3 linked regions of the Oryctolagus cuniculus genome follow. The protein of the gene in region 3 purifies or fractionates together with the protein of the main gene of each other region. This does not show direct contact. Links are inferred from orthologs where the notes say so. Each region holds a gene or a part of one and is shown on either strand. Other genes may lie near its edges.

The links. Proteins that work in one complex are often made in the same cells at the same time.
Region 1: the proteins of JADE1 (region 3) and ING4 purify together in Homo sapiens (affinity purification with mass spectrometry; 4 studies listed by BioGRID and IntAct, with this or other methods). This does not show direct contact. The link is inferred for Oryctolagus cuniculus from reciprocal best matches to the Homo sapiens genes JADE1 and ING4.
Region 2: the proteins of JADE1 (region 3) and MEAF6 purify together in Homo sapiens (affinity purification with mass spectrometry; 5 studies listed by BioGRID and IntAct, counting the BioPlex papers as one, with this or other methods). This does not show direct contact. The link is inferred for Oryctolagus cuniculus from reciprocal best matches to the Homo sapiens genes JADE1 and MEAF6.

The regions. Positions count from the first base shown.
Region 1 is NC_091440.1:102,847,008-102,854,664, reverse strand, and holds the start of ING4 (inhibitor of growth protein 4), read right to left. Parts: upstream 4,151-7,657; 5' UTR 4,080-4,150; coding exon 4,043-4,079; exon of another isoform or gene 3,955-4,042; intron 1-3,954. Other genes in the region: ZNF384 (zinc finger protein 384), read right to left, coding at 7,232-7,639.
Region 2 is NC_091438.1:135,239,487-135,247,041, forward strand, and holds the start of MEAF6 (chromatin modification-related protein MEAF6), read left to right. Parts: upstream 1-3,405; 5' UTR 3,406-3,485; coding exon 3,486-3,575; intron 3,576-4,137; exon of another isoform or gene 4,138-4,423; coding exon of another isoform or gene 4,424-4,477; intron 4,478-4,560; coding exon 4,561-4,676; intron 4,677-7,555.
Region 3 is NC_091439.1:35,887,945-35,894,905, reverse strand, and holds the end of JADE1 (protein Jade-1), read left to right. Parts: intron 1-554; coding exon 555-1,468; 3' UTR 1,469-4,403; downstream 4,404-6,961.

The DNA of each region.
Region 1 (7,657 bases), on a different chromosome or scaffold from region 3:
GGTATCTGTCTCCCTAGCTCTCCACAAGAGCAGAGACAAGTCTGTCTCGTTCACCTATTTCCCTAGTGTTTAGAATTATGCCTTGCATACAGAAGGTACTCAATAAATACTTGTAATAATTTATTTTTCCATAAAGGAACATTTTTTTCTCTTCCCATGACTCTACCTCAAACTTTCAAAATGCCTCTACTGCTTTAACGCACCTCAGGCCTGCTATTGCCAAGTCACTTAGTGCTTCAAATCAAAAATGACTTAGCCAATCAAACGATCTCTTATTACTTCTATTCTAAAAAAAAAAAAAAAAAAAAAATCTGTGCAGGGGTAGATGTTTGGCCTAACAATTAAAATGCAATTCTGGACTCACACACCTGTGTGGGAACGCCTGGGGTGGAGTCCAAGCTCTGCTTCCGCTCCCACACTCCTGCTAACGTGCACCCTGGAAGGCAGTGGTGATGCTGCAAGCAGCCGGATCTTTGACACTCGATGGGGGACCCATAGTGAGCTCCTGGCCCTGGTTTTGGCTTTGACTCGCTCCAGCCGTTGCTGGCATTTGGGAAGTGAACCAGCGGAGGGCAGATTGCCTTCTCTACAATTCAAAAATAACCGAAAAATAAATGTCATGCAGCAGCTGGCACCATCTTCCCTCCTTGGAGTAACTTCCTGCCTCTCAGGATTCACATCTGATTATACACCTCCTGGTGATTTCAACACTGACATGTCTTGGTCTGTCCTTTCAATGTGAATGTTTTCTTGAGATTACACTTCAGTCCTCTCATTTTCTCACTTTGTTTTCCTGAAAAATCTTGTTTGCCCTCATAGCTATAATAACCAGTCCTATGCTTACCTCTAAATGGAATTAAACACACTGTTGTTTCTGCTGGATTTCCCATCTTGCTGATGGTACACATCAGCCTCACTTTCCAGCAGGAAGAAGTCACCGGAAATTCTCCCTTCTTGCTCAACCCCTCGTTCAGTCAGCATATTTAACTCCTGGCATATTTAACTTCTACTCTCTGAGATCAGGCCCACATCTCTGACCCAGACTGTTTTCACTAACTGATCCCCACGTTACCAAATTTATCTGGATCCAATTTATCATACGTAGCTTATTTTCCTTTATAAAAATAACACTGAGGGCCAGCATTGTGGCACAGTGCTGCCTGTGATCCAGCATCCCAAATCAGAGCACGAGTTCCAGCCCCAGCTGCTCCACTTCTGATCCAGCTCCCTGCTAATGTGCCTGGGAAAGCAGCAGAAGACGGCCCAGGTGCTTGAGTCACTGACACCCACGTAGGAGACCCAGATGGAGCTTCAGGCTCGTATCTTTGGCCTGGCCCAGCCCTAGCCACTGAAGCCACTTGCTGGAATGAACCAGGAAGATCTCATTCTCTCTCTCTCTGCTTTCAGATAAATAAATAAATAAATCTTAAAACAACAAAAATAATAAAAAACCCACAAAGCATTATTCTCAAAATAATCACTGGAGTTTAAATCCAAACTTCTTAGCTTGGATGAAAAAACCTGGCCCAGGGGCCAGCGATGGCGTAGCAGGTTAAGTTGCTGCCTGCAGTGCTGGCATCACATATGAGCACTGGTTTGAGTCATGGCCCCCCACTTCCCGTCCAGCTCCCTGCTAATGCACTTGGGAAAGCAGCAGAAGATGGCCCAAGTGCTTGGGCTCCTGCACCCATGTGGGAGATTGGAGGTTCCAGGTTCCTGGCTTTAGCTTGCCCAGCCTTGGCTGTTGTGGCCCTTTGGGGAGTGAACCAGTAGATGGAAGATTGCTCTCGCTCACTCTCTCTGTCTCTCCCTCTCTGTAACCCCGCCTCTCAGATAAAAAATAAAATAAATCTTTAGGAAAAAAAAAAAAAAAAAGAGCTTGCCCAATCTAGCTCTAGCCTCCTCCTTTAGTCTCATTTCCCAAGCTCTCTTTTTAGGGTCATGTGACAGTACTTTAACACATTAATGGAAAAACAGAATACAGAAAAATCGGGTTGAGGCTGGCACTGCAGCACAGCAGGTTAAAGCCACGCCTGCAGGACTGGCATCCCGTATGGGCACCAGGTTGTTCCAGCTGCCCCACTTCCGCTCCAGCTCTACACCATGTGGGAGAGCCAGAAGAAGCTCCTGGCTCTGGCCTGGCCCAGCCCCAGTTGTTGCAGCTATTTATTTGGGGGAGTGATGGAAGACCTTTTTCTCTGTCTCTCCCTCTCTGTAACTCCAACTCTCAAATAAATAAATAAATCTTCAAAAAAAGTTCTGGTCCAGAAAAGACTGAATTCAATGCATATATTTTTCAGAATATGCACTTGCCATGAGCCTTCTGAGGATCTCATATACGCCAGGATTTTAAAAAATAATTGGGTCGGGGCAGTGTTTTGGTGCAGCAGGTTAAGCAGCCTTTTGCAATGCCAGCATCCCATATCAGAGGGCCAGTTCAAGTCCCAGCTACTCCACTTCCAATCCAGCTTCCTGCTAATGTGCCTGGGAAGGAAACAGAAGATGGCCCAAGTCCTTGGGTTCCAGCCACCCATGGGGGAGACCTGGATGGAGCTCTTGGATCCTGGCTTCAGCTGGCCCAGCCCTGGCTGTTGCAGGGATTTGGGCAGTGAACCAGAGAGTGGAAGACCTCTTTCTCTCCCTCTCTGTCACCCAGCCTTTCAAGTAAATAAATGTTTCAAATAAAAAACCTGGACCAAAATAAACACCTTTTAATTCTATTCTCCATGAGCTTTGGGATGTCTCCTTGTATATATCAGACTCTGACCTCATCGTCCCATGATCTTGCGACAAGCACATCACACAATACCTTTGCCACAGCATTACCTTTCCTTCCCCATACAGCAAGTAAACAGTTAAATCTTCAAGATTCTGTTCAAATATTGCCTCCTCTGCAAAGCCTCACCTACATCCCGAGGTAATTAGCCCCTTTCTCTCTACTGTTAACCACTGTACTTATATCTGTAATATTTCCTGCCACACTTTTATAAATATATATATATATATATATATATGAGTGTTTGCAACATCTGACTTCTACTAGATCACGTGCTTCTTGAGGGCAGGGCCTGTGTCTTCCTCATTTTAAAAAATATCCTCATGAGGCCAGCGCTGTGGCTCAGCAGGTTAAAGCTCTGATCTGCGTGCCAGCATCCCATATGGGAGCTGGTTCAAGTCCTGGCTGCTCCACTTCCAATCCAGCTCTCTGCTATGGCCTGGGAAAGCAGTAGAAGATGGCCCAAGTCCTTGGGCCCCTGCACCCTACTGGGAGACTTGGAAGAAGCTCCAGATTCCTGGCTTTGGATAGGCCCAGCTCTGGCCATTGTGGCCATTTGGGGAGTGAACCAGTGGATGGAAGCCCTCTCCCTCTCTGCCTCTGCCTTTCAAATAAATAAATTAAAAAAAAAATCCTCACTATGTCTGACCCATAGCAGGAACTCAGTATTTGTCGAATGAATGACTGGTGACACTAAGACAAACGTAAGTGCAGCAGGGGCCAGGCTTTGTGAAGGGGTGGGTTACACTAACGGCATAAACAGCACTAATCTCCATTTGAAGGGAATCAGACCTTTACTCCCTGAAGCGTTCCGGTTCACCATCTGATAGCGGTCACTCAACACCACCCCAGCCTCAAGAGAAACCACTTGGGAAAGAACCAGGAGACTAGAGCAGGTCTTGGCCGTTGCTCCAAAAGGCAGTGGGTGACACCGACTCTGAACCACCCCCGGGGGGAACCAATCTACCCCGAGGCTGGGGACCCTAAAGAACTGGAGCGGCAAAATCTTCCGTGTTTCGTCGACCAGCCATTTAAGACAAATCCTGAGACCCTCCGCGCAAGTCCTCCCTCGCCGACCCTCAACCCAGAGGCCTCGACCCTACTGCCCCGCCCCCTCTTTCTTGACACCGTTCAGTATTGCCTCCCACGGAACCCCTGCACAATTAGGAGCTGCTCACCGCCGGGACTTCGGGACCACAGATCCTCTCAGCCCCAATCCCCACACCACTCTACGACCCCTGACCCCCTCCTCCAGCCTGCTCTTACTGTCCAGATAATGTTCCAAATACATCCCCGCAGCCATCTTGGAGCAAAACAAAGCAACTTCCGATTCGCCCCGGAAGCTATTCTTGGGTCATAGTATTTCCGCCCTTAAAAGAACTTCCGCCCTTAGTAAATTACCTGCCCGGACACATCCGCCCGACGTTGGATGTTTTCCTTTTGCGTGAGTAGCCACGAGCGCCCGAAGTGAGGCGGCTGTGGCCGACTTCCGCCCTTACTGAGACTCCAGTACGCGACCGAGACAGGTATGACGTCACTGGAGGTCGCCATTTTGCATTCTCTTGCAAATTTTTTTTTTTTTTTTTCCCCTCCAAAACGGCGATGTGTGGTAATGGGGATAGAAGCTTCTCTTTAGGATTGGGCCCGTAAAGGTCTCTTTTCTTCAAGAAGGGAGGCCAACTTTTTTCTTTTGCAGAGTCTGAGTCTGGTAAGCAGAGGAGGTCCCGGCTGAAACAGGACTTTTAGGCAAGCTAGGAAGTTGGAAAGCAGTATGAGGCTCTGAGATTTAAACGCTCCGTATTTGTGTTCACACGAACACCATCTCCCCTGGATTATTTCTCAAGTTGATTCATTATTTATAAACTTCCTGCTTTTAAATACAATTAGAAAATAAAGGTAATTTTGCACAGCGTTTATCAGCAGCACAAATGTAGTGCTTCTGACCTTACCCTCGTGTCACTGAGGAAATCTCACGTTTTGCTTCCCTTCTGAGTTCTTATGTGATGTTAACATAATTATGAAGGGGTTGGGGCATGGAACTCTTACCACAATTAGGCCAGTTAAATGCCAGCCATCGCCCTGGTCAGCTATAGTCTAGTGATCTCAATGTTTTCCATCAGGGCTGTACCTCATGGGAGAATCAGAACTCAAAACCCGTAACCAACTAGTGGTGTTATATAGTCACCCCGTCCATCGCAATTACTATCAATGCCATGTGGCAGGTTTCTAATATTTTCAGTCACGTAATATAAGTACGTGGAAGGGCAAGGTGGACCCCCAAGTTGGCCACTGAGCAGTGGTAGGGTACAGGATCTCCCCTCTGAAGTTACAGGTGCCTTGCCCTTAGACAAGTAATCTGTGCACTTTTCACTTTCTATACAGTAGGAACAGTACCTACCTCACAGGGTTGTTGCAGTGTCTGTGTATCCTTAAAAAGGTTCCTGTTCTAATATTGGTGAAGACCATCACGCCCTTTTCTGCCGTGAGTAGAGGCAGTAAATGCTCAGGAAGCGACCAAACACTGGCATATTTGGTCACCAAATATACTTGCTAATTGCTCAGTATTGCAGCAGTAGCCATTATCTTGCCTGCCCAGCAAATCAAGTGGGCATTATTGAATAACCAAGGATCTGTGCCATGCCAAACACTGTTTGCCAAGTAGTCCCAGAGATCCACCAGTTGTCAGGTGTTGGAGTTTGGTCACAACTCTCTGTTTAGTCTTCAATTCTTGAAAGTAAATCTTGGAAATTACCAAATTCCTTCATTAACAGCTCCAAGAGGCACTGGGGCCAACACTGGAGGTGGTGGGGTCCGGACCCAGGTATGAGCTTCCAGACCATGCTCACTCCTCAGAACTCCATTCTGCATTGTTAATCCTGCACCCATGAGGGTTCCCACCACTGGGAGCCTCTGGTTGAAGGTGCACAGGGTGTGTGTGTACACGCTTTGCCAACTGCAATTCCTGGAGCCCATCATAGGTCCTTTGGAGAGGCCATTTCTCTTTTTTTTTGATGGTGAGAACTGAAACCCTATTCTCACATATTTAGGCAATGCAAACCTCATGACAGAATTAGTGTGTAGAAACCCTCATAAACCAAGATCTCACTTAAGAGATAATGAAAGGGCATCCTTTTCTGGCTGGGGAATTACACACATGGAGCCTCGTCACACAAGCACTCACTCTTCATACACCCACTGGCGTAAACCCTCAGCACTGGCCTTGAACATGTCCCCAGAGCTTTGTCCCACTTGCTCACATCAGTAGCTCCACTGCCTCTGATCCTTTTACATGAATTTATTTCTATACAATGTTCTAAAAACACCCCTTAGTTTGTACATAAGTTTCTTTTTTTCTTCATTTTTAAACTGCTTTATAACAACTTGTTTCCTGATTTTTTTAAAATTTTCTCTTTTCTCTGAAATCTGCCATGATTTTTTTTTTAAAAAGTCAAAAGGAAACAAAAATGTCATGGCCAGAAGACAGGGTGGAGGAAAAAAAGACAAAAATAAACAAAACATCAAATATGAAAATTCTCAGAGATAATGCATTTATAAACACAGAAATGGTTACAACAAAGATGGCCGTGATGAGTGGGTATATATATATTTATATATATATTTATATATAAATCCGTGTCCGGCATCTGACCGTGGCACCTGGGGAGCTAAGTCCAGTCCGTGTGTTTGCCCTGTCTCTCCCCTTCTCTGCAACACCCTTTGTTTTGGAGTTTCAGAGAACACAAAATCCCACAGCTCCTTGGGGTTTGGGATAGGTAGACTGAGTGTATAGGGCCTTGGCTGGCTGAGAATGGGGAGAGGCTCCAAGGAAAACCATAACCCACACTTCCAAGCCACCCTTCACGTCTGGCCCCTTGGAGACCACATCTCAGCCCCTGCCCCCTTAGAAAGAAAAGGTCTAATTCCCCCCCCAAATCGTGAAGTGAGATCATGGAAGGAAGAGAATGCCCTCAGGGATTCGGGCACATGAAAAGCCTCTGTTCTTTTGCCGGCAAGGACAGAACAGGAGGCTGGTTGCAGCTAGGGCTCCCTCTTCTCTGTGATCAGGAAGGGCCAGCCTCTAGTCCACATCAGCCCAAATTTTGAGGATGAGGAGGGTGAGGAGAGGGCAAATACCCACAAAGGGCAAGTTCTTTTGAGGTCATAGCAAATCCTTCCCTTGAGCACCAACCCCCAATTTAAAAGCTTTGCTTGGGAGGGGAAGCTGCTGGATTCACCATCAGCTCAGTATTCCTTTGCCAATCAGGAAGGCTGATGTTCCTTTTGAAGAGTAGAGAATAAGGATGATGTCTTATGATGAAAAAGCCGTGCCTGAGGCCCAAGGAGACGTAGCCAAGGCTTGTCAAGAAGAAGAGGACTTCTTCTACCAAGAGGAGTTGGAGAAAGCAGGGACCAGAGCTTCCTCCTCCTCTTCCCAGTGGGCGGCAGCACGGATCTCTAGGAGCTGGCCAGGTGCTCCACCTGGATGGTGCTGGTGGTGACAGTGAGGCAGATGTCCTTATGATGCTCCGCCGTCTTATAGGGGGTCAGGTCAAATGAACACTGGGGTGGAGGGTTAGGGTTGCTGTCCCCACCACCCCCACCCTGGGGGGCTGCCCCAGGAGACTGGAAGTGTGGTGGTTGTGGCTGCTGCTGTTGCTGCTGCTGCTGTTGCTGTTGTTGCTGCTGCTGCGATGCCTGGGAGGCCTGGGCCTGGGCCTGGGCTTGGGCCTGGGCCTGGGCTTGTGCCTGGGCCTGGGCCTGGGCCTGAGCCTGGGCTACTGCTGCTGCCGCCGCTGCCGCCTGCACTTGCTGCTGGAGATCAGGAGGGTTGTGTTTGCGCATGTGTTTCATAAGGTATGTTTCCTGAGAGAGATGGTAAAA
Region 2 (7,555 bases), on a different chromosome or scaffold from region 3:
CATGTGATGTTGCCAACCCACGTGGGCGTCATTTGGAGTCTGGCTGCTCCATTTCTGATCCAGCTCCCTGTCAATGTTCCTGGGAAAGAAGATGGCCCAAGGGCTTGGGCCCCTGCACCTACATGGGAAACCTGGAAGAAGCTCCTGGCTCCTGGCTTCAGACTGTCCCAGCTCTGACCATCATGGCCATTTGGCTAGTGAACCAACAGGTGGAGAATCTCTCTATAAACTCCACCTTTCAAATAAATAAATCTTTTAAAGAAAAGTAGGGAACAGGAGCTGTTGCTGTGGTACAAGGGGTTAAATTGGTGCCTCAGCACCAGCATCCCAAATGGGCACCTGATTGCTCCACTTTTGCTCCAACTCCTTGCTAATGTGCCTAGGAAAGCAGCGGAAGATGGCCCAAGTCCCTCCCACTCCCACATGGTAGACCAGATAAAACTTCTGGCTTCAGCCTGGCGCAGTCCCAGCTAATGTTACCATATAGGGAGTGGCAGATGGGATATCTCTTTCTGTATCTTATTTTCTCTCTCTGTAATCCTGCTTTTCAAATAAATAAATCTTAAAAAAATTCAGGGGCCAATGCTGTGGCATAGTGGGTAAAGCCGCCACCTGTAATGCCGGTGTCCCATATAGGCACCGGTTCAAGACCCAGCTGCTCCACTTCCAAATCAGCTCTCTGCTATACCCTAGGAAAGCAGTAGAAGATGGCCCAAATTCTTGGGCCCCTGCACTCATGTGGGAGACCCAGAAGAAGCATCTGGCTCCTGGCTTCAAATGGGCCCAGTTCTGGCTGTTGCGGCCATTTGGGGAGTGAACCAGCAGATGGAAGACTTCAATTTCTCTATCCACCTCTGCCTTTCTGTAACTCTGACTTTCAAGTAAAATAAATCAATCTTTAAAAAAAAAAATCAGGGAAACTTTCACATCTCATTTAAAATGCCTGTAATACAGATAGGACAGTACAAAAGAAAAGCTGCAGATCAATATTTCTAATGAAGTTAGCTGCAAAAATCCTCAACAAAATATTAACAGACTGAATCCAGCAGTATATTAAAAAGTTACACAAGATGGCCAAGCAGGGTTTATTTCAGATAGGCACGCCTGGTTCAACATTTGAACGTGAATTTTTACATAATCCAAAGCTGATGAAGAAAACTCACGTGCTGGTGGTGTGGCCCCCACTTGCAACATCCCATATCGGGGCTCAAGTCCCAGCTGCTCTGCTTCCTGTAATTGCTCCTTGGGAGGCAGCAGATGATGGCTCAAATGGCTGGGTCCCTGCCACCCATGTGGAAGTAGAGGATGGAGCTCCTGGCTCTCGTCTTCAGCCTCACCCAGCCCTGGCTACTGTGGGCATTTGAGAAGCGAACCAGCAGATGGAAGATCCCTTTCTCTGTCCCTCTATGTATGTATCTCTTCTCTGTAACTCTGCCTTTCAAATACATACATACATACATACATCTTTAACAAAGGAACATTCATATGAACGTGTCAGTTGGCACAAGAAAAACACCCGATGAACGTCAATACCATTTATGATAAAAGCTCTCAGTACCCTAGGAACACAGAGGAACTTTCTCATCATGATAAACAGTACCTACAAACCCCTTCAGCTAACATTGTACCTCATGGTTAAAGATGGAGTGCTTAGCTGGCGCCGTGGCTCACTAGGCTAATCCTCCGCCTTGCGGCGCCGGCACACCGGGTTCTAGTCCTGGTCGGGGCACCGGATTCTGTCCCGGTTGCCCCTCTTCCAGGCCAGCTCTCTGCTGTGGCCAGGGAGTGCAGTGGAGGATGGCCGAGTACTTGGGCCCTGCACCCCATGGGAGACCAGGAGAAGCACCTGGCTCCTGCCATCGGATCAGCGCGGTGCACCGGCCGCGGTGGCCATTGGAGGGTGAACCAATGGCAAAGGAAGACCTTTCTCTCTGTCTCTCTCACTGTCCACTCTGCCTGTAAAAAAAAAAGATGGAGTGCTTTTCCCCAAAGATAGGAAATAAGGCAACAATGTCTACTTTCCTCACTCTTATTTAATATATGACTAGGAATGCTGATCAGCACAGTGAGACAGGAGAGGGAGTAAAGAGCACTCAGGGCTGGTGTTGTGCCACAGCAGCTTAAGGTACTCCCAGGGATGCCCACATGTCGTATCAGAGTGCAGGCTGGAGTTCAGCTACTCCGTTTCCAGTCCAGCTTCCTGCAAGTGTGCCCAGGAAAGCAGCTGGGGATGGCCCAAGTCCTTGGGCCCCTGCTACCGATCTGGGAGACTTCTATGGGTTTAGCCTCATCCAGCCTGGCTGGATGGTCATGTTGTGGTCATTTGGGGATTGAACTAGTGGATGGAAGATCGCTCAATCTCATAGTCTCTGTCTCTGTCTCTCTCCCTCTCTAACTCTGCCTTTCAAATAAATAAAATAAGCCTTTAAAAAGTAATATTTTAAAAACAGTATACATATTGGGAAGGAGTAACAATATAAAACAATTCCCTATTTGCAAATAAAATGATTGTCACAGAAAAAATTCCAAGGAATCTGGACTAGAAAACCCTTCCTAAAATTAATAAGGGAGCTTGGCAAGATCCCAGGTTACTAAATCTATACACGAAAAGAAATTTCCAGAAATTAGCAGATAGACAAGATGGAGAATATAGATAGTAAAACTTAAAGGATTAAAGACGTTTCTTTCTTTACTTGAAAGGCAGAGAGAGAGGCAGAGAGCTTCCATTGGCTGCTTCACTCCCCAAATGCCCACAACAGCTGGGGCTGGGCCAAGCCCAAACCAGGAGCCTAGAACCTAACCCAGGTTTCCCAACTGGGTGGCAGGATCCCATGACATCCCCTTCTGCCTCCCAGGGTGCAGGTTAGCAGGAAGCTGGAATCAACATACCCAGGACTGAAACTGGGGCCCTTCGATATGGGACGCCAGCATCTCAAGCTGGCGCTTAACTCCTGAGCCAAATGCCCACCCCCAAATAAAGGATTCTTTAAAAAAAATTATTTGAAAGGCAGAGTTACAGAGAGAGAGGTCTTCCAAACGCTGCTTCACTCCGCAAACGGCTGCAATGGCCATGGCTGGGCCAAGCCAAGCAGGAGCCAGGAGCTTCACCCAGGGTGGGTGGAGTGAGGATAACCCTCAGGCTCTGACTCGGGCCCCTCGGTGGCAGTGAAGTCATTCCCCAGGGGAATGACTAGGAACTCTAAGCACGAGCCTGGCTTTGGACACTGTGAGCCCGCGGTGCCCCTAAAGCTCGCCGGCCAATCCTAGTGCGGAAAGGCAGATCCCAGCAGGTGCGGCAGCCCCACCTGCCGGATCCATCCCCGGGGCAGGGTTTCCCAGCGCCCCGCCCAAGCGCGGCGCCCGGCGGCGCGCGTCTCCGGAAGCCGCTCGCGCAGGCGCAGTGCAGCGGGCGCCCCCTGGCGGTCGGCAGCGGATCGCAGGGCCCGCCCCCAGCCGCCCGCCGCTGCTGCCCGCCTCAGCCCAACATGGCGATGCACAACAAGGCGGCGCCGCCGCAGATCCCGGACACCCGGCGGGAGCTTGCCGAGCTCGTGAAGCGGAAGCAGGAGCTGGCGGTGAGCGGCTGGGACCCGGGGCTCCGGCGTGGGGCCCCGCGCTCGCCCGGCCGCCGACCGCCAGCCCGGCCGCACCAGGCCGTCGGTTACTCCGGGGACGCCGCGCGCGGCCCGGGAGTCCGGCGGCCTGGGCCGGGGCGCGTGCCGCCGAGCGCCGTTTCCGGCGGTGCGGAGGCGGAGCGGCGGCCGGAGCCCGGAGGGGGCGGGGAGCGGGCCTCGGCGGCGCGGAGGAGGAAGGGCGCCGCGGGCCGGGGCGTGTGCGTGCGGGCGCCTGAGAGGGCGGGTGTCGTGGGTCGTGCGGGTGGGCGCGGGCGGAGGCGGGTCCCGGCCTGCGGGTGGGCTTTGGGGATGAGCCGAGTGTGGGAGCCGGTCTGGTCTCTGAGAGGATGGTGGGGGGGTAGGTCCCTTTTGGTCCTAGGAGCCCATCCGTGGGAGGGTGTCTGGGATGGGCAGGGGTGTGATCTTTCCAGAAGGTGACAGGCGGGGGACGAGGACCGGGTTGGGAAACTGGGAGCCGTGACGTGCACCCCGCGTTTGGGCGCACCTGCTGCCGCCCTTCCAGGTTTCCATGACAACGGGCAGCCCGGGGCCGGCGGCCTCGCCGAGCCCTTGGGAGGGCAGTGCCCAGTGCCTCGCTCATTCCGCGCCTGGTGGCGGTCCCCTTTGTGCGTGGGCGTGGAGCCTGCCCCTGTTCTGCCTCGGCCCGGTTCTTGACACTTGGGTTTCCGAGAGCCCTGTGCAGAATTCCGCACGTGTGGGCGTTTACCTGGGGACAGGCTCTGTGGAGTCCGTTCTGTTCCCAAAGGGGTCGGGCCATCACCCCGAAAGATCCAGACTCTTGGACTTGAATGGCCTACCGTTCCTGGAGTCCTCCAGCCCTCCACGAAGGTAGTTTAATGTGGGTGAGTTTGGGTTTATGATAAGCCCAGGGTCAGGCTTTCAGTGTGGGCACAGCTAATCCCCGGCCTGGCTTGTCGTCTCCCAGGAAACTCTGGCCAACTTGGAGAGACAGATCTATGCTTTTGAAGGAAGCTACCTGGAAGACACTCAGATGTATGGCAATATCATTCGTGGCTGGGACCGCTATCTAACCAACCAAAAGTGAGTTTCCAAAGGTTGTGCTCTCGAAATACCCATTTGTGGGATTGTGTGTTGTTGACAGCCATGGGGCCGGGGAGGCAGCAGCCGTCAGGTGGTGGTGTGCAGGGAGGTCTGGGCTTGAGCTGGCACTGAGGGTCCGCCCCTGCCTCCCCGAGTAGAACAGGGGGAGTCTGGCCCTGCCCAAGAGCTGTGTAAGGCTTGGATGGAGTACGGCGTGTGACAGTCTGCACAGCTCTGGTAGTGTTTTCCACATTTTGATCAGTCTTGAGTTCAACCCTTGGAAGTTTTGCCATACCTGTGTGGCTACTGTACTACAGTGTTATTCTTTGGGACTGGCTGTGTGGCACAGGGGGTTAAACTGCAACCTGTGACGTCAGCATCCTGTTTAAGAGAGCCAGTTCTAATCCCAGCTGTTCTGTTTTCAATCCAGCTCCCTGCTGATGTGCTAGGAAGGCGGTGGAAGATGGCCCACAAGGTTGGGTCCCTGCCAACCGTGTGGGAGACCAGGTAGAGTTCCAGGCTTTTGATTTTGGCCTGGCCCAGCCCTGGCTGTTGTGGGCATTTGGGGAGTGAACCACGGATGGAAGACCTCTCTTTCTTTGTCTCTCCCTTTCTGTTACTCTGCCTTTCAAATAAATAAATCTTTTAAAAAAATATTTCATTTATTTGAAAGGCAGAGTGACAGAGATCTTTCATATGCTGGTTCACTCCCCAAATGGTGCAACAGCTGGGGCTGGACTGATCTGAAGCCAGGAGCCAGGAATTCCATCCAGGTCCCCTGCGTGTTGCAAGGGCCCCAAGCATTTGGGCCGTCTTCGGCTGCCCTTCCAGGCACATCAGCAGGGAGCTGGATTGGAAGTGGAGGAACTGGGACAGAAACCGGTGCCCATATGGGATGCCAGCACCCACTTAACCTGCTACGCTACAGTGCTAACCCCCATATAAGTAAAATGTTAAAAAAATGATTCTTTTCAAATTTTGGAAATTTTTAAAAATTTAAGTAGAATTTTTTAAAAAATTTACTTATTTATTTGAAAGAGTTACGCAGAGAGAGAGAGGGAGGTCCTCCATCTGCTGGTTCATTCACTCCCCAGATGGCTGCAAGGACTGGAACTGCGCTGATCCGAAGCCAGGAGCCAGGAGCCTCTTCTGGGTTCCCCACGTAGGTGCAGGGTCCCAAAGACTTGGGCCATCTTCCACTGCTATTCCAGGCCATAGAAGAGAGCTGGATCAGAAGAGGAACAGCCAGGACTAGAACTGGTGCCTATATGGGCTGCCAGCGCTTCAGGCCAGGGTGTTAACCCGCTGCGCCACAGCGCGGGCCTTAGGTAGAATTTTTTTTTTTTACGTTTATTTGGAAGACAGAGTGGCAGGCAGAGAGATTTTCCATCAGGTTAAAGGCAGGCTGAAGCCTGGAGGCAGAACTCAGTCCTAGTCTCTCCTGGGTGACTCCTTGAGTCACCACCTGCAGCCTCCCTGGGCGCACATTAGCAGGACATTGGAATTGGAAGCAGATGGGACTCAAGCCTGTCAGCTTCTCTGGGCCTCCCAAACAGCGGCCTAACCGCTGTGCCAAAGGCCTGCCCCTTGACAATTTTTGTTTCTATGGAAAAGTTGAAAAAATAGTTCATGAGCACTCCATGTTCATCTACATTTACCAGTTGGTAACATGTTGCCAAATTTGCTTTGTTTTCCTTACTGTACTGTACCTATGTAAACACCTGTATCTACCTTAAAATTTTTTTTTAAGATTTGAAATATTTATAGATTAATAGGAAGTTGCAAAAATTGTGCAGAGCGGCCTCATGTAGTCCACCAGTTTGCCCCACTGGTTATGTTTCGTAGAACTATATGGTGCCACATCAGCACCAGGACATGCTCATTGGTACAATGGGTATCTACAGTTGGATGTCATTTTATCACATGTGTAGGTTCATGTAACCATAGTCAGTGCACAGAACTGTTCAGTCGCCACATAGGTCTCCTCCACACCATTCTGCGCTTCTGTGCCTGCTCCCCTTAGACTTTTTCTTGCTGAAGCGCTACAGAGTTTGAGCAGAGGTTATGCACGACACTTTGTACCTAACTGTCAGCGGCTGCCTCCTGAGAATAAGAACTCTGACCTAGCCACAACATCATACCTAGAAAATTAATACTGCAGTAAAACATCCGGTACACAGTCTGTTCATCTTTCCTCAGTTGTCCCCAGAATGTTTTGCTCTGTTCCGACCCAGGGTCTGTTCAGCCTTCATTCACCATGTTTGCATGTTTGGCTGTTATTTGTCTTTGGTCTTTTTTTTTTTTTTTTTTTTTTTTTTTTGACAGGCAGAGTGGACAGTGAGAGAGAGAGACAGAGAGAAAGGTCTTCCTTTGCCGTTGGTTCACCCTCCAATGGCTGCCGCGGCCGGCGTATCACACTGATCCGAAGCCAGGAGCCAGGTGCTTCTCCTGGTCTCCCATGCGGGTGCAGGGCCCAAGGACCTGGGCCATCCTCCACTGCACTCCCGGGCCATAACAGAGAGCTGGCCTGGAAGAGGGGCAACCGGGACAGAATCCGGTGCCCCGACCGGGACTAGAACCCGGTGTGCCGGCACCGCAAGGATTAGCCTATTGAGCCACAGCGCCGGTCCTGTCTTTGGTCTTTTTTAAGATTTTATTTTATTATTTATTTGAGAGGTAGAGTTATAGACCGGTAGAGGGGAGAGACAGATCTTCCATCCGCTGGTTCACTCCTCAGTTGGCTGCAATGGCCGGAGCTGAGCCAATCTGAAGCCAGGAGCTTCTTCTGGGTCTCCTACATGGGTACAGGGTCCCAAGGACTTGGGCCATCTTCTACTGCTTTCTCAGGCCATAGCAGAGAGCTGGATCGGAAGAGGAGC
Region 3 (6,961 bases):
CTTTTAGACATGTTTGCTCATTTTATGTATTTACACGTATTTATCCTCAAAATAACCCTGCCAGGGTGTAGACACTGGAGAAAGAAACTAAATGTAGTGGTCCTCCTCCCTGCCTTTTTGGTGCTGTCAGTTTCCCTGGGGAGAAGGGGTCCGGACACAGCAGCTGTGGCCCCTGGAGCAGTTGCTGCTTTGCACCTGGGGAGAGGGAGGAGAGGCAGCCGCTGCCCACCTGATGTGTTCTGCAGGGATTTCCCTTAGACGATCAGTTACTTTGTTTGAAGGAAAATGTATTCCTTGAAAACCTGAAAACTTAGGTGAGCCTCAGCTGTTTTAGAAAAACAAAGTTTCCTAATGCAGACTGAATGGAAAATTTCCAAGGCAGGTCATCAGCTTGAGATAGGATAAAAACTGAATTTTGACGGACTGGTGGCGGCATATTGAACTGCTGGGCGGGAAAGTTCGTATCAGTTGGTCTACCCAAAGGGTCTAGAGTTTAACTCCTTTGGATGCGCCTCTGTTGTAATTCTTCTGTATTTGTGCTTTTATATTCACAGGTGTGCCTTCTTCTTCCTGCGCCTCCTCCTCACTGGAAAACATGCTTTTGTTTAACAGTCCTTCTGTGGGGCCTGATGCTCCTAAGATAGAAGACTTGAAGTGGCATTCTGCGTTCTTCAGAAAACAAATGGGTACTTCCTTGGTTCACTCACTGAAAAAGCCCCACAAGCGAGATGCACTGCCCAACAGCACTGGGAGCGAAGGCAAAGCTGTGCTCAAGCAGCCAGACCCGTGTGGTAGGCGGGAGGGGATTGTGGTCCCGGAGAGCTTTTTGAGCTTTGAAAAGACCTTTGCAGAAGCACGTCTCATATCGTCAGCACAACAGAAAAATGGGGTAGTGACACCAGACCACGGGAAGAGAAGAGACAATCGTTTCCATTGTGATCTCATTAAAGGAGACTTAAAGGACAAACCTTTTAAACAGAGTCACAAGCCTCTCAGGTCCACAGACGTGTCCCAGAGGCATCTGGACAACACGAGAGCTGCCATTTCCGCTGGAGCAGGGCAGTCAGCACCCGGCATGAGGAAGGAGATGGTGCCCAAGTGCAATGGCTCCCTAATCAAAGTGAACTATAATCAGACTGCAGTCAAAGTGCCTACAACGCCTGCCAGCCCAGTGAAGAACTGGGGAGGATTCCGGATTCCAAAGAAGGGGGAGCGGCAACAGCAGGGAGAGGCCCACGAGGGGGCCTGCCACCAGCACTCAGACTACCCATACTTGGGCCTCGGCCGAGTTCCAGCCAAGGAAAGGGCAAAAAGCAAGTTAAAACCCGACAGTGAGAATGACGGGTATGTCCCCGATGTGGAAATGAGTGACTCAGAGAGTGAGGCATCAGAAAAGAAGTGTCTCCACGCCAGCAGCACCATCGGCAGGAGGACAGACATTATCCGGAGGAGCATCCTGGCCTCCTGAGGAGACAGGGATGGCCTGGGAGCCCGGCGAACTTGGCACTGGGTGTGCTGGGGGGAGCTCTGATGCAGGGGACAAGCAGAAACCTGGTACTCCTGAGCTACACAAACACATTGACTTGCAATTCAGATTGAATTTTTTTTTTTTTCCAGAGTCATTTAGAAATCATTGTTGTGAGAAGTTTGTGTTATTTGCAACTTGTTGAGGAAACAGAAGAGTAGATTGTAACCATAAGACACTGCTAAGAGGAGAACCTGAACTAAACACTAAAACAAGAATGAATTAAGTTTTTAAGAGAGCAAGGCTTCAGTAAGCCTCCTGAAGTTTCATTGCTCTCTGCATTCTTCCCAAAGCACAAACTCTTGGTAACCTGAATATACGGAATCAGATGTGGTTCTTGAGACACCCTTACGTACCATTTGTAGCCCGTAAAGCTTATTTGCTAGGACTGCGGTAGATCTTGAAATCGATTTGGCCCGCAAGGCTATTTTTTGTTGCATGATAGTATGCAGGCAGCAGCTCTGAAGCTTCACTAACACTGGGGAAACTCACGTGTAGACGCAGCAGCCAAGCAAGAGAATTTAAACGATGGTCATGGTTGGAATTGCTGAAGGGACAGGGTAGAGCTGCTGCGGCTCGGAGGGTTAGGGTGAATGTTGCAACGTCCTGCTGCCTGATGCGCCTGAGTGGGTTGTGGGTGCAGAACTGATGGAGTGTGAAGCTGTTAGGAGGGTTCTATCTCTGAGAAAGGGCAGTTAAGGTCCAGTTTCTACCAGTCCTCTTGACCTTCCTCCTCCCTAACTGTTGGCTCTTGGGCCAGCTTGGGATTTCCCTGGCCATTGCCAATACCTGGCCGTCTGGCTTCCAGCAGCACAATGGCTATTCAAGTTTAAGCGATGAACTTCGAGACTCTGGTTACTCATACTTCCCAGAGCCAGTCTCTAGTGTGTATGTTGGGGAATCCGGGCTTCCAACATGAACGGATTCCTTAAGAAAAAGGAAAACAAGAAAAGAAAAAAAAAAGAAAAAATAAAATAGGTTATATTTCAAAACAATAGAAAGGCAATAAGTTGCGATAAGCTCTTACCATTGACCAAGGTTATACAGGAATGAGATTGATGTGTACCCTTGAATAGTTTTCTGGAGTCAGAGTTCTAAACTCTAATTCGTAACTTGGACTTTCTAATTGCAAATGGCAATAAATAGTAAGTTATCAGCAATAATAAATTTAGCATTAAATTTGAGTACAATGTTGTTTTTTGCACTCAATGTAGTGCGTATGTATTAAGACAGTGGATAGCGTTAAGGTCCTGTTAATTTTCTTTGGAATTCAATGTAGTTGTGAATCAAACTTAACAGAAGGAAAGTTTAAATAGCATTATGAGCATTTGGAATGAGCCCGACTTCCCCTAAATTACCCCTTAGTTTGTTAATAGCAGTACCCAGATTCTTGATTCATTTTTACATCTGTTTCCATGTGGCAGGGACATTCTAATACCTAATGCATAAATGCTTTGAGTTCTGTAGTTAACTTTCAAGTCTTCCAGATGATCGTCAACAACAAAAAAGGCTTATTGAATTCCATCTTGCTATGCAAGTTTTACCAGATGATCAGATAACAGATCTGATGCATCCCCGTTGTATGTATGACATTCTCAAACCAAGTCTTAACTTTTGAGTACATTTTAGTAGCTAATTCAGGGGAGGTGAAAGAATGACCCAGGTTTTTAGATTGACTATTTTTGAGCTATGGGGCTCAGTTTGAAAGACTGCTGTCCAGATCAGCTTGTTGCTACAAATATTAGGAGGTTCTTATGAATCCAAGTTGTACATTCACTTGTAGCATAATTTAAAAATGAGATTTTTTTTTTTTTTTTGCATAAGAGCAAAAACCTTTTGCTGGATATAGGAGAAGGTTGGACTCTACAGTTATCTTTTGACTACAGTAACAGCTCTGGGTGAGAGTAGAATTTATAGAAGAATAATTTGTCAAGCCATAGAGAGAAAATCTAAATTAATCTAGTAAATGTATGACCTCTCACCATTTTAAGAGGTACCAGATTCATTTGCACTATTAGGAATGCTAGTTTTGTGCAAAAGTAATGCCTTACCTGTTTTTCCCCATGTTTAGGTTGAAAAGCTTTCAAATGTTCCAAGTTATGCTGAACCAAAAACAAAACAAAACAAAAACAAAAAAATAAAAAAGCCCACACAAAAACAAAACACACAAAAAATAAAAAGTCCACTTTTTATTCCTGCTTCAAAATGCAAATGGTATAGAGCACGGTTTCTCTGACAGTATAATGATAGCTTTGTAAGTTAGTTTCATGTCATGCTGGGAACTCTGTATGAGGTGGCCATAAGCAGCAACCAGCCAGCCTACCCACTTGCATTCTATTAGTACAGAACCATTGGCCTTTTTTTTCCTTTTCTTTTTTTTGTGTTAAGCTTTATCTTTCCTTGTGCATCCTGACCAAGAAATATCTTTGATTATGATCAAATGTATTATGTCAAAATGTAGGCTAGTTAAACTTTTGTAAAGTTGCCTGGAATGTCATTTGTTAGGTTATAAACACAAAATCTTAAATGAAGGGTTTTATGTGTTGTGTACAAATCTTAATTATTTTGAAATGGACAGACTTGTCATTACATTTGTAACCTTGTACAGAGGATTTTTCACTATGTGCCTAGCTTGGTGTCCATTCAGCTAAAGTTGAAATAAAAGGTGCATGAAGAGTAAAAAATCAGAAATTAAACAAAGTATATGTAGAGATGACTATTTTATATTACATGGCCCAATCCTGTATTTATTTCTACCCCCTTTTTGAAAGTATTTATAAAACTAGTTGAGGACAGCTGTATTTTTTTGTTGAACTATTTAGTAGAATTTGTGCCTTTTTGTCTGTATGTGAATAAATGCTGTACATTTTGCAATACATTTTTAACTGTCTTTTGAAATCTGCTTTTGGCTAAATAGTTAAAGGTGTATTATGATTTAGTAATCCTGAGTTGGTGCTTGTTTATTGTCCTGGAGTGTAGATCAGAAATGAGAACAGTAGGGAACAGATCAGAACTGTGCAAAAGCCCAGATTTATTGGTGCTTTCTGGCTCAACTCTGAGAGGAGACTGAAAAAGATAATGGTTTGATTTTAGTCTTCCCCATCTGGAGTTCCTTCCAGAATATGAGGGTACTTCAACAAGTTTGCAGAAAATGTGTATATGGAAAAACTAGGGATTATCAAGTCAAGTTTTTGCACCAAAATATACTTAAACATTTAATTTTATTTTCCCATTAACATTTTGAAGTACCTGGTAAAATTTGGATCAGAAAACATCTCACTGTTGAAGCTACATAGACTTCAGGGTTAGAGAGACCTTGGTTTGATGGCTGAACCACAGTTTACCAAGCCATGTGACCTTGGCCAAATCGCTTAACCTTTATGAACCTCATTTTCCCATCTGTAAAAAGAGGATAACAATTTAGTCTTAGTGTGTTGTGATACTGAAAGGAAGTTCATAGAGTGGCACGCAGTATGCCTTTAGTAAGTGATAGGTTATTAGGTGCAAGGTACTGACTGGCAACATAAACTGATGAGCCTTCTGAGGCAAGATGTTATTCCTGAGTGATGGGAAGGTTGCATTGATAAGGTGCTTTAAAAAACTGAGAGGTTTCATTAACTGCTTGCTTTGATCACAAAGCTCTGGGACACAAGGGCAAGAAGAGAGATTACCTGCATTCCACAAAGGTGACTTGTCCAAGATCACTGCATTAGGCATATGCAGAAATTTCTAGTTTTGAATTGTACTGCATGCAGAAATTAGCATATACTGAGATGCACCTTTCTTTCCTCTTTGGGTTGGAACAGCAAAACTGGTGTGGATTATTCTTTCTCATGCTGATTAAGCCGATTAGGAGCAACAACAGGGTAGCTTTTTGGCTCCAGTCTAATTTGTAATTTCTACAGAAATTTGGCTAGTCTTTTCTTGAAAACATGAGTTGTCTCTTTTGCTAAAGGCTTGTTTATTCTGTCTTGTTTCTCCTTGGTGACTGCTTACTTCCATGTTGCTTTCTCTGAGCAAGACCCGAGAGGGAAATAACTATGATTCTTCCTACAAGGTCTTAAAGTTGAATAACCACAATAGTTCCCTAGGGAAATTAAGTCCCCAGGAGCCAAAGGAAGGCCCTATCATTGGCAGTTCTGCAATCTGTGATGGGAAATGTGGCACTAGGGACTCATGGTTCATGTTTTCACCGGCATTGCTTAGAAAACAGTTTCTACCTTTGAAACATTAGCCATCTGCAACAAACTTTGCAATTAACTTCAAGGTTGAAGTCTCTAATCCTTGTATGATTCTGTTTTAATGCTAAGAACTGCATTAGATAATGTGTTCTAGTGGAGGCTGACAGTGAAGGGCTTTGATGGCCTGGTCATTGAAAAAGAGGACACAAGCAAATCTGTTGTCTGGTCCATTTCCTTGACATCAGCTCTTCTCTGTTGCTGGTTTGGTATGTCTGCAGTGTAGCTTTTCCTGGGTTCTAAAAGATGCTTATTGGGCACTTCCTTTTGGATGTACACAGGTACCTGAGATTTTGGAAATACTTTTTTCCCCCCTGTTAACAGTCATGGGAATTCCTTGTGAATCATCTCTTCAAGTCCCATAGCCAAATGGCAGTAACTGACCCAATATTCTTGGCTTCTCTAGGTCCCAGTGCCACTTGCCATATAGATCAGGTCTCTTCATTTCTCCCATAATTACTTTTAGCAGCAGCCTCTTGTCTGGTTTCCTGGACTCAAGTCTTGCTGAAATTAATCCCTCTCTCCAATTAGGTGTAACTTTGCCAACACTATCTCCATAGTGATAGATAGCAATTTTGTCATTCCAGCTAGGGAACTTGCTTTTGCAGATAATTACAAAGTGCTTATTAAATAGCAGGCACTGGTCTGTATTTTACGTATAATAATTTGTTTAGGCCTTATGATGTGAGCTAGGTGTTACTGTCTCCACAGTTTGCAGATGAGGAAATTGAGCACACAGAAATTAAAGGTCAGTAGGCGGTGGAGTTACTGTACACAAATTAAGCCAGTGTTGGGTTAGGCACACTAGACTTTTGCCTCAGAATATAAAAATAGTTCATATAAAGTAGTTAGTGTGTTTCTGAGTATACTGAAGACTCTAAGTATGAACTTTAGGTCAATGGATTCCTATAAAGTAAAGCTAATAATATATTAGGGGACTACAAAAAGTTAGATGAAAAATGGAACTGAAACATCTGATGAAAAAACTTTTTGAAATCCATGCATAGTTTAAGAACTTTTTCAAGACCCCTGTATTAGTTAGACTCTGAGGCTATCCTGATGGATAATAAGCAGCATAGTCTGCTTGTAGTCTTTTAGACCCTGCATTATTCTAGGGAGAATGGACTTAGTCATGTAACATTTATGTAACACACACAGGCATTCACACATGTAAGGGTAAGTTATATGCATTTATGAT